Linked DNA regions of Lepisosteus oculatus. The protein of the gene in region 3 purifies or fractionates together with the protein of the main gene of each other region. This does not show direct contact. Links are inferred from orthologs where the notes say so. Each region holds a gene or a part of one and is shown on either strand. Other genes may lie near its edges.

The links. The genes of interacting proteins can lie anywhere in the genome.
Region 1: the proteins of cdc27 (region 3) and anapc7 purify together in Homo sapiens (affinity purification with western blotting; 23 studies listed by BioGRID and IntAct, with this or other methods). This does not show direct contact. The link is inferred for Lepisosteus oculatus from reciprocal best matches to the Homo sapiens genes CDC27 and ANAPC7.
Region 2: the proteins of cdc27 (region 3) and ttk purify together in Homo sapiens (affinity purification with western blotting; 3 studies listed by BioGRID). This does not show direct contact. The link is inferred for Lepisosteus oculatus from reciprocal best matches to the Homo sapiens genes CDC27 and TTK.

Annotation. Positions count from the first base shown.
Region 1 is NC_090717.1:10,172,336-10,179,226, reverse strand, and holds the start of anapc7 (anaphase-promoting complex subunit 7), read left to right. Parts: upstream 1-3,890; 5' UTR 3,891-4,001; coding exon 4,002-4,102; intron 4,103-4,658; coding exon 4,659-4,845; intron 4,846-5,248; coding exon 5,249-5,368; intron 5,369-5,713; coding exon 5,714-5,825; intron 5,826-6,744; coding exon 6,745-6,891. Other genes in the region: ube2g1b (ubiquitin-conjugating enzyme E2G 1b), read right to left, coding at 345-442, 1,684-1,786, 3,269-3,311. UniProt on the Homo sapiens protein: Component of the anaphase promoting complex/cyclosome (APC/C), a cell cycle-regulated E3 ubiquitin ligase that controls progression through mitosis and the G1 phase of the cell cycle.
Region 2 is NC_090697.1:30,765,277-30,772,765, forward strand, and holds the start of ttk (dual specificity protein kinase Ttk), read left to right. Parts: upstream 1-4,488; 5' UTR 4,489-4,503; coding exon 4,504-4,624; intron 4,625-5,989; exon of another isoform or gene 5,990-6,032; intron 6,033-6,461; coding exon 6,462-6,548; intron 6,549-6,837; coding exon 6,838-7,060; intron 7,061-7,489.
Region 3 is NC_090723.1:7,973,251-7,981,081, forward strand, and holds the start of cdc27 (cell division cycle protein 27 homolog), read right to left. Parts: upstream 3,002-7,831; 5' UTR 2,843-3,001; coding exon 2,816-2,842; intron 609-2,815; coding exon 533-608; intron 24-532; coding exon 1-23. UniProt on the Homo sapiens protein: Component of the anaphase promoting complex/cyclosome (APC/C), a cell cycle-regulated E3 ubiquitin ligase that controls progression through mitosis and the G1 phase of the cell cycle.

The sequences.
Region 1 (6,891 bases), on a different chromosome or scaffold from region 3:
GACGAACCTTCCCAGAGTAACACTACCAGTGTTGGTAAAAGACATTTCAATTAGTCTGTGCTAATGAGTGTTATAAATTGAACCTGTAAGCTGGACAGTAAGTTGTTACTATCCACCTCTGTATCTGAGGGTGCTTTCAATTGTACCGTTCAATCACTCCTGCCTGATAGTTGCACTTAACAAAAACAGGATGTGGTACTATTAATATTTTACAGTATGTTCTTTCTTTACAAGAAATGTGCAAGTCTCTTGGACAGGTAGTAAGGTAAATGAAAAAGAACATGTCCATAAACCAATGCACACAGCACTTCCACACACAATCGATAGATAACTAGTAACCTTACCGTTAGGATGCCAGATTTCAGTAATGAACTTCATCTTTGGAGGCCGCAAGGGATAGTCATAAGGAAACGTCAGATAAGCCTTGAAAAACCCTCCTTCACTGCATTAAAAGAAAGATAAAGATGGTGTTGGCCATCTGTAGGCAATCACTACTGATGCAATTCAGCTCATCTTGTCATGTGGCCAACAACATGAAGTTACAAACGAAGATATAACTGTGTGTGGTTGCACCACTCTTTTCATGGATGGGTGCTACGGTAGCAATTTTCCAGTCAGCAACTACAACACCTGTCTCGAGAGACTGATGGAAGAGATTTGCTCATGGACTATTAATAACATCTCATTTCCTTGAACAGACTTGGTAGAATATCATCAGGTCCTGCAGGTCTATCTCAGTATTTAATATAGGACTTTAGTCTATCTTCAGCCTGATGCACATTGTCTGATCGTTCCCAGATAAGCACGAGTGAAATATTGCATTTTACATCTTTTAACTGGATCTAGTTTTTTTTTTTTTTACTGCTTTAAAAAGTTAAATCATTAAGATTTTTTAATTAAACTATTTGTGCCACCACTTCCCTGACCAATTTAGAAGAAGCTAGAAGCAGAACATCTTTAAGTTGTTCCATCAATTTTTTTATTGGAAGATTGGTCACATTCTTCCGGTCTGTGTCCCCAAAATTGGAAGCCTCCGAGTTGAACTCTATCTTTACAGTTTCAAAGGAAAATAGAGTTTCCTTATTATAATCACAGCTATATTAAACCAATACATACATGCCCTCTAGTAAATCAGTTTTTCTGACAAAGAGTGTAAGAAAGCCGTCAACTCCAACACGAACCACCTCATTTTTCTTCTTATTATAATAAACTATTTTAAAGAGCACCTTTAAAGGTGCCTTCTCAAAGCCCTTTACAGAATGACAACAACAATAACAAATACACAAGATATTCACAATGAGAATACACAGTAAATGGAGGTACTGAATACAGTAGGAGCAGAGGGATAAAGAACAGAAGCAGTTGAGTAAAGGCTCTTCTAATTCCCTGTTTCATCCAAACAACGATCAAACAGGTTCTATTGACCACTTTTCCCATGGGCTTTTAAATACAGTAAAAGACACGGTTATAATCTTTTGGATGTGCATATGATTTCAAAGCTATCCTGTTCTTATTCTATGACTAGGACATTTCTAACTGCATGCACTCTCAGCTACTGTTCTTCCTGGATTTTTAGGATCTTCTCCCATTAGAGCAAACGGATAAAGAAGGAAAAGTCTGACATCTGACCAGGTTTCTACCGCCCTCACAGCACCAGGACAGCCACTTAAAATCCACACTTACAACAGCGTGTCCTGTGGCCCAATTATGACCACCTCCCATTTGTAGATGTCATCATCATCGATGAGCCCTGCCGAGAAGCCTTCCACAGGGTTCTTGTTGAGCTCTGAAATTCAAACACAATTTTAAACACTTCCCTCCAGTAGGATGGAACAGCTGGTTACACAGTGCAAACAGGATAAACTTACCAGACAGTCAACAGGATACATATGCAGAGTAAATGAGTCAAGCAACCTGATACACGTTAGATCGCTGTGGAAACTGTACTGGGGCATATACTACCCAGGAGCATAAGATAAGGGCACCCTGGACAACCAGGAGCCAAAGGAAACAGTACGAATAATATGCTCTTATTATTTCTCAGAGAGATCACATTCAAGGTTTAAACTGAATATCGGCATACTGCATACAGGCAAGATCTCAGGATCCTCTATCCTAAGTCGAATTCTCTCTCATTGCAGTTCATCTCTGCAACATCGCATCTCTCAATAAAACAAAAATGCTGAGTCAAAGCCCTTCAAAAGGAGGAAAAGGTGCGCAAAACGAGTTTTTGCTCGGCTGTATTCAAGAAATGCAGGAGAAGGCTAATTATTGTGCCACACTTGCTCCCAGGTGGGGGCGGTACTCTGTATTAGTCATTTTAAAAGTTAATCCTAACGTCAGAATCACAAAACCAAAGAGGAGCAGACCTGGAGGGGGAAAGAGCTACAAGCCGAAGACTCAGGGTCTCAGTTTTCCACCCGCAAAAAAACACACTCGGAATTCTGGGAACGGCGTAAATTGCGCAAAAGCCAAAAGATCAGCTTTCGAAACACAGGTCTTGACACAAAATAAATAAAAATAAAACAGCTTAATCACATTAGAATTAAAAAAAAAATGAGCAACCGCAATACACAAGGGCTGTGTGGCTTTTACCTGTGTGGGGGAGAGTTCTGGTTGACTCGGATTACGCGATATTTATTTTTTTTTAAGAGACACATTAGTATTTTAAAACTATGTACGGATACGGTGAAAGTGACACAACTCGGCCCCGTTGTAGATTGTAGCTGTAACAGGTAATTTATAAACGTTTAAGCACGTTAAAAGGGAGTCCAGCCGAGCAGATGATGCGGTTGTATCGACCAAAAAAAACCCCCAAAGTTTAGCTAGTTGCCAATTACTTCCTTGCATCTGAACCGCTTCTACATTTCAATGGCACGACGATTCCAGCTTCGTTTTTAAAGAACCAATTTTGTTGGGGGAAAAAAAACAAATTGGAACTCTTAAACAACCCAATAAGATTAATCCGTCCTAAACCACGACCAACGTGCAGCCTGCTAAAGAGAGGAGCTAAATCTCACTACTGTATAAGATACGCCAACCAGCCACATTTTTTTAAAAGGAAAAAAAAAACCAACAACCGAATTAGGTCGTTATCACCCGCTACCGCGTTACACAAACACTTTGGCACTAGCAAAGAAAGCTTAAAAAATAAAACTCATCCCTCACACGAAGGAAAAAGCTGAAGTTCAAGAATAACTGCTTCTTGTAAACAACACATCCTGCTAAAACCTCGATCTCGTCTCCAGACCGAGTCGCTCTCACTAACCTGCCAGCTGTTTTCGAAGAAGCAGCGCTGATTGTTCAGTCATGGTATGTGGGGCTTGTTTTAGATAAAATATATATATAGATAGATAGAGACGTGGTTATCTGTAAGAGAATATCGACAAATAAATAAAAAATGCTATGAAATCCGCCAATTCCTTCCTGCCGAGTCTCTGGCTGCCTGTCTGACACATTTAGGGCTCCCGGAGTGATTTAAGCTGCTCACACCGCATGCGCGCTGACTCGGGAGAATTGGGGTCGTCCAAGCTATCTCCTGCTTAAAAATATCCCATATCCTTCTTTCATTTGTAATTCCTTTAAAACTAACCCAACAACAAACAAAAAAAACAAATAAGCGTGGAAACAAAATCGTATAAAACACAGACTCTCATTTTAGTTATGTGTGTGTGTTCCTTCAGTGCTGTTTGAGGTCGTGTTTTTGCGGAGACCCAGGGCATCAAATGAAGAGGCACGCTTCCAGAATTAATAGGCGACCACCTTGACACTACCAAAATTGATTGAAAGGTTTTCAGTGTTATCTTCTTGTGGCGAGGAAAACAAATACAATTTTAAAGAGGCCAGTTGAAGGCAGCGTTTGAAAGGACCCCCCTATTTAAGACCTCAGAGGCGCCATATTTGATGCAATAAGGGAGAAGTTTTTCAGGAGGGTTTAACGAAAGCTGTTTTGATTATTTTTGTCCATTGTTTTGTCTTTGGAAACCACAATTGCTAAAAAAATGAATGTTATAGATCACGTTCGAGAGATGGCAGCCGCCGGACTCCACTCCAATGTCAGGATATTGAGCAGTTTGTTACTTACAATGAGTAACAACAACCCGTATGTACCTTTCGTTTCGTTGACAGGTTCTGGACCAACTCCTCTGCATATAATATGTAGTATATGTGGAGCTTTTATCAATACAGTTTTTTGAAAACGTGTTTTAAACCCTTAACGAAGATGTGTGAGCTCCATTAAATATGATACCTCACTATTATAGTGTAACGGAAGTGCTCAAAACAAGTGATGAAGTGGTACGCCGTATGCACTAGTGCACTCATGCAAAAACGATAATAGAATATAGGTCGGACGTAGACAAGGGAATGAGTACATCCATTCACAAGCAAATCATTTTATAGTTGTAAATAATTTATGCAAACTATTTGCAAAATCTCCGGAGAGAGCAGAAAAAAAATAATGTAAATGTTGGGATTTACTCAACATAGAGTACAGCACCAGAGTAGACCATACTCTTTTCACTGCTTGTGTTGAGCTCTTTTGCAGAAGTGTCTATAGTATGCATTACCTATATTGATGAGCTATTTCCTGCAGCTGCATTTTAGATTTTGTTAAATCCATGAATTGTTTTATGTGCATGCAAATGTTTTTTTTCCAGGGAGCTGTTTTCCCCATCGCAGAAATACCAGCTGCTGGTGTACCACGCGGATGCCCTGTTCCATGATAAGGAGTACCGGAATGCAGCTTGCAAGTACAGCATGGCTTTGCAGCAGAAGAAAGTGTTGAGCAAGACCTCTAAAGTAAGGACCTCTGCTGGGAGCAATGCATCCTCTTTGCAAGGACAGGTACATACTGTTTACTTGACTAAGAGTTTTAGGTACCATTTAACTGGTCACTCAGAGATAAAAAAAAACCTACCCAGGCAGGGTGATCCATTTGGTCCCGGTAATCACATGAATGCTTTAAAATCAACTGGATTTTTAAGTTTGTATTATAGTGAAAGATGGGTCATATATATACTGATGCAAATCTAAATTGTGCATGAGGAACACAGAGGTCTTGTTCAAGTATTTAGTGTGACAAGCTGAAATTATTTGCTTCTAAAATAGTCATTTCAAATTAACGTAGTATAAAAGGTGAATTGACTTCAATATGACAAATGCCAAAAGGCAATAAAAATAAAATCTAGAATTTTTAGCCTCCAGGTTAAATTGAGAGTGATAAAGAGTCCACATATCTTGTTTTTAGAGCCTTCCGTCTGAGATTGAGGTGAAGTATAAAATTGCAGAGTGCTACACCATTCTCAAGCTGGATAAAGATGCCATTGCAGTTCTGGATGGGATTCCATCAAGGCAGAGAACGCCCAAGGTTAGCTGTAGTGTTGTGCTCAATAAATGTCAGTATATACTGTATGTATTTATGTATTCTAAGTTTTGTAAACTCTTTAATCTTAGCAAATGGTTATTTGTATTTCTGTTAGTAGTGTAGTATAGTAGTGTTTATTTCTAGAGCCATAAAAACGTCTGCATGCAAATCAGTGCATTGATTGTTTCCTTCACCTATTATTTAGGAATGTTCTGTTTTCATAAAAGAGTGCAAATTACCTACACTAAACATGCTATTTAAAATACTCATTAGAATTGGTGTTTGATATGTTGGATAGCTAAGCTCAGATGTTGAAATCACTCAGCAGTGTGTATTTTTTATTTTCAGATCAACATGATGCTGGCTAACTTGTACAGGAAAGCTGGGCAAGAGCGCTCAGCAGTAACCAGCTATAAAGAAGTTCTGAGACAGTGTCCTCTTGCTCTTGATGCTATTATCGGTACATACTTTTAATATGTAGTTTGTTTTCACATGGTATCCCATTCCATCTCCCCTAGATGCTTAAAGATATTTAGCTTGCAAAATGTCTGTTTTTGCAAGTTAGAAATGGCCCGTTTTTGAGAGGGAAGTTAGTTTTGCAAGCTTTTGCACTAGTAAGAATTCTGGAGTGTGTGTGTGTATGCTCTCTGCTTTGACTGTATACTTTTGTTATACCTAATGCACATTTTCCCTTAGCTTTTAAGGCTGAAATTGACCTAAATAGAATTTAAGATTTCAACTCTAGGTTGTATTGCTTTTCTTTGGTTTGAAACATAGTACCCTTTTTAATTAAAACTATGTAAAAATTGGAGTAGTTTACATTTTCAGCCATGTAAAGAAAATGTGCCAGTAATATTTTCAGTGCACCCTTAAAGTCAGAATATTGATGTAGTGCATTGTTTTTCTGTATGAAAAGTATATAACTCCCAACTGTAATGCTACCCTAGCATGCTACCATTTATTCCTTCTAAATGAATTATTACCGATAAAGGGTGCTTAGGTATACTGCCACATTGCAGTCCACCACTTGCCAAATTCCAGAGCAAAGAAAACCTAATGCAAGGAAATATAGGACATCATTTTTTTACAAAAAGGTAAACTAGACCAAAATGTTAATCATTTATGGAGTTTTTATATGAAGATGGTCAAATGAATCCTGCAAAATATCTTACAAGATGCCATTAGTGTTTTGCTTTAGTGGAATACTGGAACTCTCCTTAGATATTATAGTTGACACTTGCACGTCTCCAGCTCGAGGAAATCCATCATCTTTTTTATTTTTTAAAACATCGGGTAATGCCAGGTTATAACTAGAGTCAGCGGCGTACGTGGTCCTGCTTCATGTTGTTTCCTGGATTAAAGGTCGGTGTGTTTTGCAGGTCTGCTGTCCCTGTCTGTCAAAGGAGCAGAAGTCGCATCAATGACCATGGACGTGATTCAGAGCATCCCCAGCCTGGACTGGCTTTCCGTGTGGATAAAGGCCTATGCTTTTTCACATGCTGGGGACAACCTGAGAGCCATCAATA
Region 2 (7,489 bases), on a different chromosome or scaffold from region 3:
AAAAATATATTATTTTATTTCCTTGTATATATAAGCCATGCGTTTGGCAAAAAAAAAAAGAAAAAAATCTATATTGAGATCCTACATGGAGGATTTGCAAATGCACTACAGCTGCTCCCGTGCCAAGCGCCTGGATACCGGAGCAGACGAGGAGCACTGCGCATGCGGGTAACAGTAGCTGACTCCGGAGACGGCTGCCGTGGTCCAAGGATCCACACCGATCGCTACACTCACACTCACACTTACACTGCTGTCCGTGGACACTGCAAGGGCTGTGTAGGTCCCTAGTGGCTGGTAGCTCATATTTTACGGACCTTGAAAAAGTGTCATATAGAAGGGAACGTATTGTGTCCAGATCAAAGTAAGAATAGAGCATCGAACCAGGGTCTGCAGCTAATATACTGGGAAAATGAAGCGATTCAAGTAGCCTTAAATCTCTGTCCCGAATGAGAAATATAATTATGCTCAAATATGTTAAAACAAAACTTAGTGCGGTTTGCCAACGCTCTAGGAAACTCACTTCTACACTACTCAAGATAATTTGTTTTCGCTTTTTAAAATTAAGGTGTCGTTTCTCATCTGTTTTCTTTAGATGTTATGGATTTAATTTCTAAAATTACAAATTTAAAAGTGACAGATTAGGTGACGAAACAGTGCACTGTTGATGATCGAGAAAGGCACAAGCTATTTTTATCCATCCATCCATCCATTTTCTAACTCCTTCATCCAATTCAGTGTCAGTGAGCTGGAGCCTGTCCTGGCAAGCACAGGGCGCAAGGCAGGGTACACCCTGGACAGGACGCCAGTCCATCACAGGGCTGACGGACACACATACACTCACACCATGACCAGTTTTCTATTTTCTAATACGCCAATTAACCTACCAGTATGTCTCTGTGGGGTGAAACCCACATGGAGACAGGGTGAACAGCAAGGCAGCAATTCTAATTAATCACTGCTCCACCCTGCCACACAAGCTGTCTTTAAAGATATAAACATTTCATCAGCAAGTGTGTGTTCAGAACAGGAATGAAACGACTGAAACATGAGAGCCTACAGATTTAAACGCAACGGAGATGTTAGTTGCGTGTCATTTAGAATGATCTTACATTACTCTGCTTCATTACTACATTACTCCGCTATTATTACCTTGCTGTTAATGATAATTCCTGCCAGCAAGAATTAACCTGTGAGCAAATTCATGTGACAATAGAGGTGGACCGAAGAGAACAAAATAAAGTGTCAGATTCGGATGCACACACAATGAATTGAAATGGTCGGCGTCATTTTTATTCATCATCTCTTTGTTGAGAGGACAAATAGCAAACAATGGTGTGAACACAAGGGATTAATTGCTGTGAACTGACAGAGGAACACCTTTGGGTTTTCCTGTTTACATTTCAGCTTTCTTTCCTAGCACAATGCTGTCTGCAGGTGGAGGATATCAAGGAGTAGGAGCGGCTTTCAGGAGCCGATGAGTTCAGGCATCCTCACATTCTGCGTCCAAAGGTCTCTAAGCCACAGCCTAGGTAGCAGAGCGCTCTACAAGCAGGAGTCGTGAAAGCAGAGGAGCAATAGCATTGACAGAGCAGAAGCGAAGAACTGCTGGAGAGAATTCATCGTATGGTGCTTGACCCAGGGAGCTGCAGAGAGCATGCTGGGAAGCAGCGGAACTCAGGAAGGGGCAACAAGGACACTTTCCGAGTGGTATCAGAAGATGTGTGAGTTGGCATCGTCAAAGTCTTTCCTGACCAGCAGTACTGAAGCTGTAAAACTGTTACTGAAAATGGATGGATTGACATACTGTAGACCAAAATATGTTGGTCTGATTTCATTCACACCTTATGTAAATAACTCACTTTGGCTTTAATCAGCAAAGGCATTTGCTTTGCCTGTACATAATGATCACTTAAACCATTGTTTATCCTGTAATGGTTTAATTTATTTTGACAAAGCTCTTATTTTTGCTGAGCACTGTTTAGCTGCAGACTACAGCAGATATAGTAGTTCAGAGCACCAGCTGATTTTGTCATCCTCACTGACTCGAATTAAAAATACCTGAGAAAGCCGATCTATTGCTAGAAACATTACATGCTCAAGATCTGCTCTCCTTACACTTAGTGCACCATAACCAAGCGGACGACACCGACCCTCAACAACCCCAAACGTTCCCTGACCCTTATGGCCAGCAATGACCTGCACACTCATCAGAGAGAGGCCAGGATCCCCTTCTGCACCCTGTTCCTGTCATACGACATAAGTCTTATCTATCCTGTCCTTATCTATCCTGTCAAACTATCTGACTGAAAATCTTCCAGGATGCCAATAGCAGGATCAGCCACAGCTGCGCTAGCCTCTACATTGTGCACTTGATGAGCCACTTGCAAAGACGGGCCACTAGTGTTACAATGTACATCTCAACAGGGAGGGAGTGCGCATTTTGGCCCGAAACATCAAATACACAGATGTGCATAGAGTCCAGCAAACGGAGAACTAGGGAACTGAGCAACAGTATGCCGGGGAACACAGGATATGAACCACCTGCCCCCCTGTCAGCACACACAGAGGACTGGTACACCCTACCGGCAGCCCACACAGCCCCAAAGAGCTGTGCAAATGTCATCTTGAAGAAGGAGAGGCTGGCTCTGAACTCAGCCACATCCAACACCTGATGATCAAGATCTACACCAGGCTGATGGTGTCATAGAAATCAAACATTAACAACCAGCCACTGTGAAGACACCAAGCACCCTTTAACAAAGTGATCGACTTGCAAGATTTCAGAAATGCAAAGTTTTATAATGTCTAGAAAGGTATTCCTAATGCACACAGAATGTTTCTTTCCACTTTTTCTATTTATGTTGTGAGTCTGATTTATTTTGCAAGTTCATCTCATCTTAGTTCAAAGTGTCACAGTTAGGGCCTCTGGGCATCATAAAAAACAGTTCCAAGAATCTCCAATATATCCTTCCATCCATTTCCTAGCTGCTTCTTCCAGTTCCGGGTCATAGTGGAGCTGGAGCCCATCCCGGCAAGCTTGAATGCAAAGGATCCAAAACCTCTTTGTATACCAGCCATTTACAGTGTATAAGTAATAGGTTTATTCCATGCTGAAAAAAAGAAGAAAGAGAACACAACGTTTCGGCCGTGGAGCCTTCTTCAGGTGTGAGAGAGACAGGGCAGTAGGCAAAGGTAAAGTAGCGGGAGAACAAAGGTTGAGAGGGAGGAGGAGTGAGAGGCGGGAGCAGGGGACAGAAAGAGAGGCCAATCAAGAGGTGTGAAGTCAGAATGGGTGCAGAGAGGTGTGAGTTAACAGTGTATGTCAATAACACAGCAAGTCACCAGAAAAACATGAAAAAGGAGTATGTTTTCATAGCGCTTTCTTTTCCACGAAAGCAAAAATAACTATCCCTGGTATTTCTGTACTGTCATATCTTTCATTTCTAAAGGATCACAATATTGACACGGTGGCGCAGTGGTTATTGCTGGGGTTCAGTTCTAGGCTTTTCGATTCCAGTTTGTACTGTATGTTCTCCCCATATTCAAGTGGGTTTCCTCCAGGTGCTCCGGTTTCCTCTCAAAGTCCAATGACATGCTGGTAGGTTAATTGGCTTCTGGAAAAACTGGCCCTGGTGTGAGTGTGAATGTAAATGTGTCTGTGTGTGCCCTGCAATGGATTAGCTTCCCATCTAGGGAGTGTCCTGGCTTGCACCTGTTGCTTGTCCCCGTGACCCTGTATTGGATAGAGCAGTTAGAAATGGATGGTTTATATATGGAAGGAACCTGACTTCATCCCTACACTGTAGTACAGTACAGTGCTTACCTACCTAGCAGCAACTCCACTATACAACACATCAATATTCTGGTACAAGAGTAATAGTGCCACCTGTGGTGCACTAACATTTGGTCTTATCTACATTCTGAGATAAGGCTATAAGGTTATTGGCTACTGTTAAACACCCCTGGGAGCTCAATGCCCTGGACAAAAAGTCACATCGATTTCGTATTTTTTATTTAACCTTTTATTTTTTATTGTAAGTTACAAATAGTTGCATAGTTACAGCATTTAAATATGTTTTGACGCCTGAAACAACAAGGCTTTTAAAACACATTTTGTAGCAATATACTTTACTTCTGGTCCATAAATCATCATTTGGCAGCTTTAACTGTTGTGACTAATATTATCTATTTTGTCTTTATCCTTAAAAGTTTTGTTCCATTATTAATTACAGCAATAGTGGAAATTCGTGCTTTGGAATTAGTAAAATCCGTACATTAGATTTAAGAGCTTTCAGTATTCGTATTTTGGGAATTTGTTCCATGTACGTAGGTAAGAGGGAGATTAAATCTCACAGAACAAAATTATGTAAACTGCAGGCGAAAGCTGCTTTTCTCAAAATAGGAGTTTCCGGCGGCGGCAGAGTAACAATAAATCCAAGACGGAAGCTGTAGGACAGCAACAGCGCAGCCTCTCTGTGATGACGCAGCGATACAAACTGACCAATGGGCGAGCGTGCTGAACGGAAATGGCGAAATTTGAATGTTCTGGAGAGGAAAACAGTGGCAATAAGGCTGTTTCAGCTTCATGTGGAGATAATCTTGCAGATATGTTCAAGAGCAGTAAGTATGTGTGAAATATACCATCAAATTTATATAATTTAATGTAGGAAGTCTGCCGATTGATCGCCTCAAGAGGTATTTCTGGAGCACAGTGTTTTGAGGAGGTTGCGGAGATGGAAATTGCAGACTTTTTGATTGCAGTTCTGTTTTTTTGAATGGCTGCATAAGGGTTGGGCAAAGTGCATTCACTTTGTGTTGCGTTTTGCCGTATTTTGTTGTTTATATTTATTTTTTTTCACCTCTTTAAGGTGAGGCGTGGGAATGTGTAGTTTATGAAATCCAATATTGATATGTTTCTTTGACGAGGACGTAAGCATTCCTAACGGCGAAATAAAACAATAACGGCAAACTCGGTTGAATGGTCGTGTAGACACGCCTTTTTCTATAAATAGCGATCATTTATATATGTCTAGGTTTTCTTGGAGATTTGAATCCCAGTAAGTGCACTTTTGTTTTTAAGTAAGACTTAACGCTCGATAGTGATTATAGTACACTAAAAAAACTGGATATATTATATGTTTTTATCATTCTGAAATTGTGTGACAGTATCACCACGTATCTGAGACGTTTATAAAAATGAAATTTTACGTAAATTATTAAAATAATTAAAATTGCGAAAGCGGTTTAATGAAAAAAATCTCCTGTTTTGGAGGTTGGTCACCCACACATTCCTGACATATGACTTGTTTATACAAGAGCTGGGTATCCCCCCCGGTCTGAAAACACTGCTTTCAAACGCTAAAACCTTTTTAATAAGCGTGATGCAGACGCTAAAATTCAGTGGTTTAATTATAGAAACAAAATTGACGGTTTATTTCACACATGCTTTCCGTGGTTAAACACACACTCGTATGGTTGTGAACGGGTGATCGGAGTCCAGTTTGAGCCTCATCATACATTCTTTGGGAAAAAAAATAAATTATTTGTCTATTTACAAAGATAGATTAAATTAAATGAGAGTTAAAAGATTTTGGATTTAAGTACAAAATTTGCAGTGAGAACGCAGGTTTCACGAAGAGAACTGTACTGCCTGTTATTAAATGTTTTGCAAGTAGAGTGAGTGGTTAAACGAGTTAGATCAAGTAGAAGGTGTTTACACACAATATGTACAGTTTAGCGCTCCTCGCTTGAGCTCAGCCAATAAGACCTATTTACACCTAAATCGGATTATATGTAGAGATAAATTCATTCTCTCATTTATATGTTACATGTTGGATTACAATGGGCGTGACTATTCTGTGGCAGACGGGAGACTATTCATGATAGGTGACCTATTAACCCGCTTGTGTTGTGACTTCTGTGAACTTGGGTGATATTTTGCACTGATACCATGGAGACTTTAGCTAGAAGTGGCCATTCTTTTGGAGGACCCCTACAGCTGTGTTGTCTTACAGTTCCTCACAGCATATACCGTACTGTGTCGTTTACAATTGTGGGGTAGTGAATACTCGGTGCTAGTGTATAAATACAAACAACTCCGCACGGATAATTTTAACAGTAACGTGGAGGTGTTTATTTTTTTTTAAGCTTCTCTGGAGTTTAACATTGCTCCAGTCCTCATCGCACTTAAGCGGCATAGACGACTGCCTTGATTTTCCAATGTTCTTTTGCTGCACTACTGTTGATCTATTTCGGACACCCTAACATCTGAATTTTATAAATATCTGCTCAGCATCTATTTCTACACCTGTACTGAAACAAGGTTTACAGTAAACGTAGATTGTAAATTATTTTGCATTTCTAAAGATGTGATAATACTAGCTATGCGCGATAAGTTTCTTTTGCTTTTGTTCGTTATTATTACAGTAACTAAGCATTCCAGATTTTATTTTTACTTACAGCCATGGATGATGAACAGCATACACAAAAGCAACTTGCTTTGCTTTCTGCAAGACTGAAGAATATTAAATCAAAGCTCTTTGATGAAGGTAATTACATTGTTGCACTATAGTATGTATTTGTTTAATATTTTGTGCATTTCCGTACAGATTATAAACATTTCTCAATGACTGCAAAAATGCTCAGTAATAGTCAAATTAAGCTTAAAAGCAAAGCAGATGCATGGTAGTTTATTATTATTGGAGTTACCCTCAGAGTTGTTAATAAAAAGTAAGCTGTTTTTTCTCAATCTGATTTTATAGAAGTGTTAATGAATTCATTTTTATTCTTTATTTTTCTTTGTCACTTAATACTTTTATCTTTTGTTTTCTTCCTTAGATGATACCGACAGCTTAAAACAGATTTTAAGTTCCAGCTCACCCGAATCATGCTTGGCCCATTTAAAAAACATAGAGAAGAGAGGCAACCCTCATACAGATCCATGTCTTCTAAAGAAGCTCGTTGACTGTTATGGTCATGTGTTTTCTTGTCTACCAGTAGAAAAGAACTGTCGCAATGAAAGCTATGCAATGATGCTGGTCAAGTTTGCAGAATTGAAAGCGTAAGTATATGGGTTCATATCACAGACTCGTGTGTGTGCTTTGCAGTGGTATCAGTGAAAAACATCCATTACTCCTTCATTGCTGCCTCTCCATATCTGCTGAGTAGTTCACCGTTTTTAAAGGCTAGATGAATGCTCAGTGCATTTTGGAGACACAAAGACAGGGAGAGAGAAGCTTGGGGTCAGAGCGCCGGGTCAGCCGTTTATACGGCACCCCTGGAGCAGTTGGGGGTTAAGGGCCTTGATCAGGGGCCCAACGGAGTAGGATTCCTCTGCCGGCCACGGGATACAAACCGGCAACCTTCCAGCCACAGGGGCAGATCCTTAGCCACAGAGCCACCTCACTGCGCCAGCCACCGAGGAATGTAGCAGAATGCTAGGCTCATTGGCAGTTAGTGGCTCCATCAGTGATAGATGAGATGCTTTTCC
Region 3 (7,831 bases):
GAAGAGAGCCTCTTCAGAATGCACTGTCCAAGCACATAAAAAAAACAAGCTTCAGCCCTAATGAAGAGCTTAGATTTCGAAAGCATAAAAACAAAACAAAACTGGCAACCAAACATTTCGTTATACTTTATCCCCCCCCGCAAACCACCCCAAATAGCTAAAAAAAGGATTCTTGTTAAAGACTATACATTTATACAGAAAAGAGTATTAAAATGTAAAACAGGATTTCAAGACCACAAAATGTCTAGGCGTAATTGTTAAAAACATAGAAGTCAGCAAAACAGATCAGCACAAAGAATTCTACTGTTATTTTATTTCTAAAAATCAGGCATCTTAAAATATAGCTCACTTCACAATAATTTGGGGGCCATGATTAAAGATGTACAACTACACCACCTTTATTCAGGATACATGAGTCCCTAATAATTTTATTTCCCAGTCTGACTCCATCACTTCTGAGACATTATTGATTTATTACAACCAAGAAAAAGTTCCGAACAGCTGGGTGATCTCCTCACATCTATTTCATTACCTTCAGCATAGAGTCTCTCTGCCAGAAAGACAGCATCTCGGTAGGCATACTGGTTTAGTGCATGCCAAACAGCTGCCTAGGAATGAAATGAAAAATTCAGTACCATCTTGGCAGCAGAGGTCCTTATCTGCAGCACAAATATCATCAAGATCTGAAACGTGTTTAGTTAATTTACACATTTTGAAACAGGGAAGATTTAGCAAACTAAAAATCTTTTTTGAATTGGGTAACAAGATCAAACTTTTAAAAACCCATTCACATATTGTTGTATCAGGAATACTACTAATAAGATTGCATATTAAGAAATATTTACAAAATGTTTCTCAATAAAACCAAAAGTCATAATTACTAACTGCTGCTCGTATATAACCAAGCGGACTAAACATAGGTTAAGTTCAGTAAATGGCCAAGAGATTAACTGGATACAACCCAAATGGCAGTGTAATTAAAGTAAGGCAGTTTAAAAAGAACGTTATTGTCCTGTTAGCGGCATTTTTTATCTCAAAGAAACTTGACACATTTTGTGAAAAAGAAAACATTACTTAGAATAATATAATGACCAGTGCATTTAAGATCAAAAGCAGCAATAACTTCTTTATGCAAAGGTTTGTGGGAGTCTGGAACTCAGATACAACAGCTGAAGCTGATACTCTTTACTTCCCTCAGGAAACAGAGTGGATAACACTCTCACATTAGTTCTCCATTATACGCCACACAAGATAGATTGGCCGTGTTATGTTTTAACAGCTGAAGTTCAAGTGTAACCCAAAAGTGCTATTCATGGGCATTATAGTCACAGAAATGACACTTCACGCAGTCCCCAATCATATTACTCCCTGCGTTATATATAGTACAAGCTATCATAACCACATTCTCTTTCAAATATAGGTGGCTATGTACTTGTGTCAGTGATCATACACCAGTCTAGTTATGTCCATTACTTTCCATGTCACCCAACAGTTACCTCAGTTCAGCAGGTAAAACACTTCTCCAAACACCTGTACATATTCTACAAGCACGAGCATTACTGGTGCTATTAAGAGAAAAAGAGCACAGTTATTCCCAGTTATAACCCCTAACCCCAACAGCCTCACTTACTACGAAGGGGCGGGATTGGGGCATATCTTCAGATGAAAAACAATACCTGGATAGGCAGAAAGTCCCTTTGATATACTAAACCCACAGTTCTGCGACATTAGACCACAAAGCAATAAACCGAATTTGATTATAAACGACTGTTCATGAAGACGTTTGCACTGCAGACACGTTCAACGTATTGCTCTTCACATGCAACATTTCACCTTACAGGATCACCGCGCATCACCCTTCAGGTGTTTATTAAATGCGAAAAAATACCTTTTCAGGAGCAAAAAATTGTTAAAAAACAGCAGTCAAAAACTTCGAAAGCTGTTGTGTCATTTTATGTACCTAGGTTTATTTGTCCACACACTCCGAGATAAACAGCATTCGCTAACACCAAGTAACAATTTTCCGGTTTTATTTTTATTTAAAAAGACCTAAAAAAAGCCTACCGATCAATATTCACTCAAATTCTACAATCAGTCGCTAAAGCAATGCACTGAAGCCAGAGGAAACAAAGATGCAGGTGTTCGACTTCAAAGGCATCTACGTTACAATGTTCCACATCTCACAATCGCAAACTTCAGTAGTTGAACCAAAGTCTTTCCAAAGCAGAACAAAACCTCAAAAACGACCCTCACAATGTCTGGTTACTCCACAGTGCCCCAATTTGAATGAATTCGCCATCTGATCAAACTGTTAATGACCCATCACAATTTATTAACCACTAGCACATCAGCCAAGTTACCTGTGTAAGGTCGCAAAATGCTACAGAACTACCTGCCGTATTTTAGAAAACAAAATACTACAGTAAACACCTCTTTCCCCCATAGGGCAAGATGCCACACCGGCGAATAATTAGGACTTTAAGACTAATACAATTTCAAGAGCAATAAACTGCAACAAAGCGTTTATAAAAGAATCGCACATCACCCGAAAATCTTGTTATAATTCTGATAAACCGGAATTCTGAATCAAACAAACGCATCGTTTTTGGCTTTGTAAAGCTTTTCAATCGCGTCTTTTTTAGCTTCCCAAAAGGAGAGTACGCGAGGCCTCCACTATTTGTTTTCAGGCCTCGGGCTCGGAGTAGAGCTCCCTACCGGCTGGCGAGAGCCGGACTCGGGTGGGCGCGTTCCCACCACAGGCCGCTCTCATTTTAACCAAGTAGCTGCGCCGCGTTTCTTTATTTTCCTCCGTTACCTGCACAGGTTCTTGTAGCACCGTCATTACGCGATCAAGCTCCTTCTCTCTGCCTTTAACTCGCTTCCCCCGTTCCGCAACCCCTCTTTCGCCTTTTGCTCAGTTTCAGGGCCCGAAGGAGCTCCGAGGATTTAAACACATCGACCGTTAGCGACCAAACCGAGACCCGCCGGAGATTGCCGATTAATGCGGAACAGGCACGAACAACGACGGACTGTGACGGAAATTGCCGATAGCTTCGCCAACAACCCGAAACGCAAGCGCAAGCTAGGAGTGTGAAATAACACTTCCATTCACAATTAATTACAGCGCGCAGTGATAATGGCTGGCTGCTTTCGTTCTCAATTACTTTCTCTCTCTTCCTGTCTTCATTATGAAAAATTAGGGTTTGGGACCTTCTGTATGGACTTCTCTCCAATACATGCCTCTTTCAAAGTAAAACTGCCCTATACTCTGTCCAGTTTAATCAACATGTTTTTAAAGCACATTTTAATGAGCCCCAGTGGCCTAATGGATAAGCTACTGTCCCGCCCTAACCCAGGGATTGTGGGTTTGAGTCCCATCTGGGATCGACTGGATGAAGCCACAGCGTGCAGAATAAACTTTTTAGCTTTCTGGATCTCTAAAAACCTTTTCCACATCAAAGGCCACCAGTTGAGACACGACAGATTGCATCTGAGTGGGATAGATGGTGGTCGTCTTGGCTCAATAACCCACTAAAAGCCCGACACTTAAACTTTACATGGGGAACAAAGACCAAAGGAAAAAAAACAAACGATTCTGTAATTAGGCTCTTATACCTAAAAGCTGGGAAACAAATGAAATAGGATGGAAGCTGGCACATTAGCAGGGAGTTATGATGTTACTGAAACTGATGGAGAGGAATGGGGCATAAGCGGATTCTCTTCTGGGAAGATCGGAAAGAAAAAAGGTACTCGTCAAAACGCTGAGGCTCTGCTTAAAACTTGGCAGGAACAAAACAAAAGCAATGCAAGTCGAGACACAGAAATGAGGTCAAAGAACCAGAAAGGGACTACAGCGTATCAAAAAGAATATTCAGGTTGGGGAATTAAGGGTAGAGGAATTACTTCTTTGAATCTATAGGTGTGGTGTTAGCAGTGTGTTAGACACCACCACCAATTGCAGATGTAGATTTTTACTCAACACCGTATAATGAAATTAAAAATGTATATGCCACATAAGAAATTATTTTTATTGGTAACTGTAGGTCACAATGGGAACAAAGGGCGGTTAGGTATGTCAGGAACAGGCTGAAATGGAAGACAAACAGTAGTTCATCACTGATGGCAAGACAGGTTATCAGAGTGCTTATAGGTGGAACTGCTTGAGCAGATCTTGTCTTTTCAAGTAGTCAGGAGAATGAGGACAACAAAGATGGGAGAACCTTTATGAGCTTTTGGCCATAATATGGTGCTGATGGATATTTTGAATCTGTACAGGTTGAGTATGGAGCAAAAGTGTCCAATTTCTGGACAGCAGGCTTTTGAAGGAATGAGATGCAGGGGAAGAGAAATAAAATAGGACAGGATAGGTATGAGGTCATTTGAAAAGGGATGGTTAGAGTTTAAACAGTCTGAAGCAAAGAACAAATTTATCACAAGAGTGACTCAAACAAAAACTAAAAAAACAGCATCCGGAAGGGTTCAGAAAACAGTTAAGAAATAGCTATTTTTATTTTGGGGGGAAAAATAAAGCATATTACAACACATTTAAAACAACAGAAACAAAGACAATTGGTTTACATGCACAGGTGATAAAGTTATTAAAAAATGAAAATTTAAAACATATTACAATGGAGGCTAAAAGAAATAAAAAAAAGGGTTCTTGTCATTCTACAACAGCAGAAGTACCATTAGGAATAAAGTAAAGCACATCTGGAATAAAAATGGGACACACTGAGCTAGAAGAAGCTACTTATGAGAAAAAGACCTACGTGATTATGTTGACATACTGTAAGTGGAATTCAAATGAGTGGAAGTTATGTTCAAAATGTTTACTGTACTACTAAGGTCTCTTACTAGAATATAGTGCACAATTGTGGTCACCACATTATAGAAAAGATACTGCTGCTCTAACGTCAGTCCAGAAAAAAGCAACTACTGTAGGTACCGGAGCAGAGGGGTTTATGTCAGAATAAAGGGCACTTCAGATCTAATGTATGTATTAATATTAGTGCTTAGTTTAACTATTCAGAATCCTTAATGGTATTGCCACTGTCAACTCAGTGAATGTCTTCCACATGAACAGTGAAACATGAACCAGAGAGAGCAAGTGGAAGAGCGTTTAAATCCAAGAACAGGAGGTACCTCTTTACCCAAAGGGTGGTGGGAGTATGGACAAAGCTACCCAGCCAGGATGTTGAAGCCAATACCCTGGATTCTTTCAAGAAAAGACTGCACAAGTTTGTAACCTTTCTTATGCAGAAGCATGGAACCTGGATCCCAGCCTCGATCAAATTCTAGTGCTCACCTCTGATTTAACTGTATCACTTTCCAGCCACACTCCTCTCAAATCCAAAGTTTAGATCACTGCGGACAATGCTCATGAACAATAGGATTTCTGTGACAAATGCCACCGGGTTTGTTCCGGGCGACACGATGGCACAGCAGTTAACATGGTAACCTCACAGCACTGAGGCCCTGGGCCAATCCATCTGTGTGGAGTTTGTATGTTCTCCTTGTGTTTCTAAGGACATTACCTGTTGTCGTTTTGCACATTGCCTGTTGTCTCTGTTTTTCTTTTCTTATACAATTGTATTGTTGTTTTTTTTGTACTGCTTACCATCTGAGAGCTAGCTAAATAGCATTTCATTATACCATATACCTGTATATGAGTATAATGACAATAAACTTGGATCCAAGAGGGACATCGTAGATATAGCTAAAGTTTAGAAGGAATTTACTGGTCTACAGAGATCTGCATGGAGTACTAACACACAGAAGACATGATGGATGGATAGATTAATACCCTCATAATTTCCTTTTTTTAATTGTATGATGTTAGCATGCCCAAAAAGGTTGGGCAACCAGTTGACCTTGGACCCCTAGAGGTATTTTTTCTCCTTAATAAGGAGTTTTTGGTTCCTCTCCTCCATTGTCTTCTGGTCTTCTGTTCTGTATTGACAAAATGTATTGTCAATTGCATTGTTAAGTGCCTTAGGGCAACCTTGTCATGAAAGGCGCTATCTAAAAATAAATTGAATTGAATAAACATGAACTTGAACTTGAACTTGGACTCGCTGGTAGATAATTTTGCCCTGGTGTGGCTGTGTATTTATGCCTGTGTGTACCCTCTGATGGGATGGGGTCCTGTTGGGTGTTTGTGCCTGTTGTTTGCTGGGCTAGGCTTTGACATCCCCTGTGACCTTGTAATGGATAAAACAGAAATCGGATGGCTAAGATGTTGTCAAAAGCTTCAATAGAGCCTGAAGTTTTAAGTGTATAAAGCCACCAGGTGGAGCCACAACACCACTAATACAATATGTTACCCTTCTAGTTTTCCTGACTCTGTCCAAAACTCTCCTAAAGGAAAATTAAGTACCTAGATTTACACAGTCACACAACTAGTATGCTACAGCATGTTCAAACCAGCTGCTTGTAACTCAGTTTAAATTCATGGATCTCCCCTGTTGTAGTTTTCTTGCACTGCCATCCTGTGAACTTTACGATAAACTTCAAAATCTTGCTGTCTTTAAGGGCTTGAGCGGTTTGTCTCCTAAGTAAATCAGTGAACCGTTAGCCCCCTACACAACGTCACTTTTCTTTGCTCTTTGGTTTTACTTTTAGTTCCCCAAAACTGGATCCTAACCCTGGGTGACCCTGAGATAATGGGGAGATCATGTTTCCTGTACTGTTTTTCTCCAAGGCTGTGGGAATGATCCCTAAGCCCATGACTTAAAATTTACTTTCATACATCAGCTTTTGATTCCCTTAAATTTACTGTAGTCATTTGTGTTTAGTCGTTTCTAAGGTTTCTCCCTTCACCTTGATTGTTGTAAAGCATGAATCAGCATGAAGCATGAAGCATGATTCAGAACGTGAGTGGGGGTGCAATTAATAATTTTAAAAACACAAATAGTTTTTGTAAGAAAAGCACATTTCCTGGGTATTTTGTTAGAGACCCCAATGGCACTGTTTGCCCTAGACGCACCCAGTCTGAATTTCTACCCTCCATTTCTTCCATTCACATTCGAGACAGAGGTCATACTTAGTCTGACTTCATCGCGCCAGGGCGGATTCGGAAAAAGCTTGGATCTAATCCCTGTGCGGACTCGGATCCTCAAGGCAAAAGAAAAAAAAAAGGAGTTCTAAAAAATAAATCAGGGATAAGAGATTAGTGGATTGCTGAAGTGTAGTTAATTTGTTGCAGAGGGTGTTGCTGTACTCCAGAGCTTCCTCTGCACTGACAGGTATTAATGCAGGTGGATTATCTATCTTCTGCTGTTCCAAAGTGTCCTCATGGTACCCAGAACCTTACAGCAGGTGCTGTAGCTATTCCAAGGGAACAGGTACAAGGGATTGATTCTTTATTACAGGAATCAATATTATTATCTTTTATACTGAATGCTTTTGCTTTCTCCTAGGTATCGGGAGGTCATTAAAAAATCACATTTTCTTTCCTCTGATTGTGGATTGATCTGAGCAAGAGATGGATTCAGAGACATTGGGTCTCGACCTTCGATAGTCATTTTAAGAATAAACAAATACATTTAGTAGATTGACAGAATCAGTGCAGCCCTATTGAGAAAACAGTTTTAATTGCAGTTTTGATTTGTTCACCCTAGTTGAAATATATAGGTGTAGGTAGGTAGGTGTAGTTGGTGGATTTATTCATGACTCATTTCTGTGATCTCAATAGGCTGTAATTTGTAGATGTCTAAGCAATTGTAAAAAGAAAAAAAAAGTATGGGAAATTAAGACAAGAGCTGGATGTGAGTTTCCAGATCTACCCACTTCAGTGTTGTGGTTTAGCATGTGCTTGGGAATGTGGAGTTGT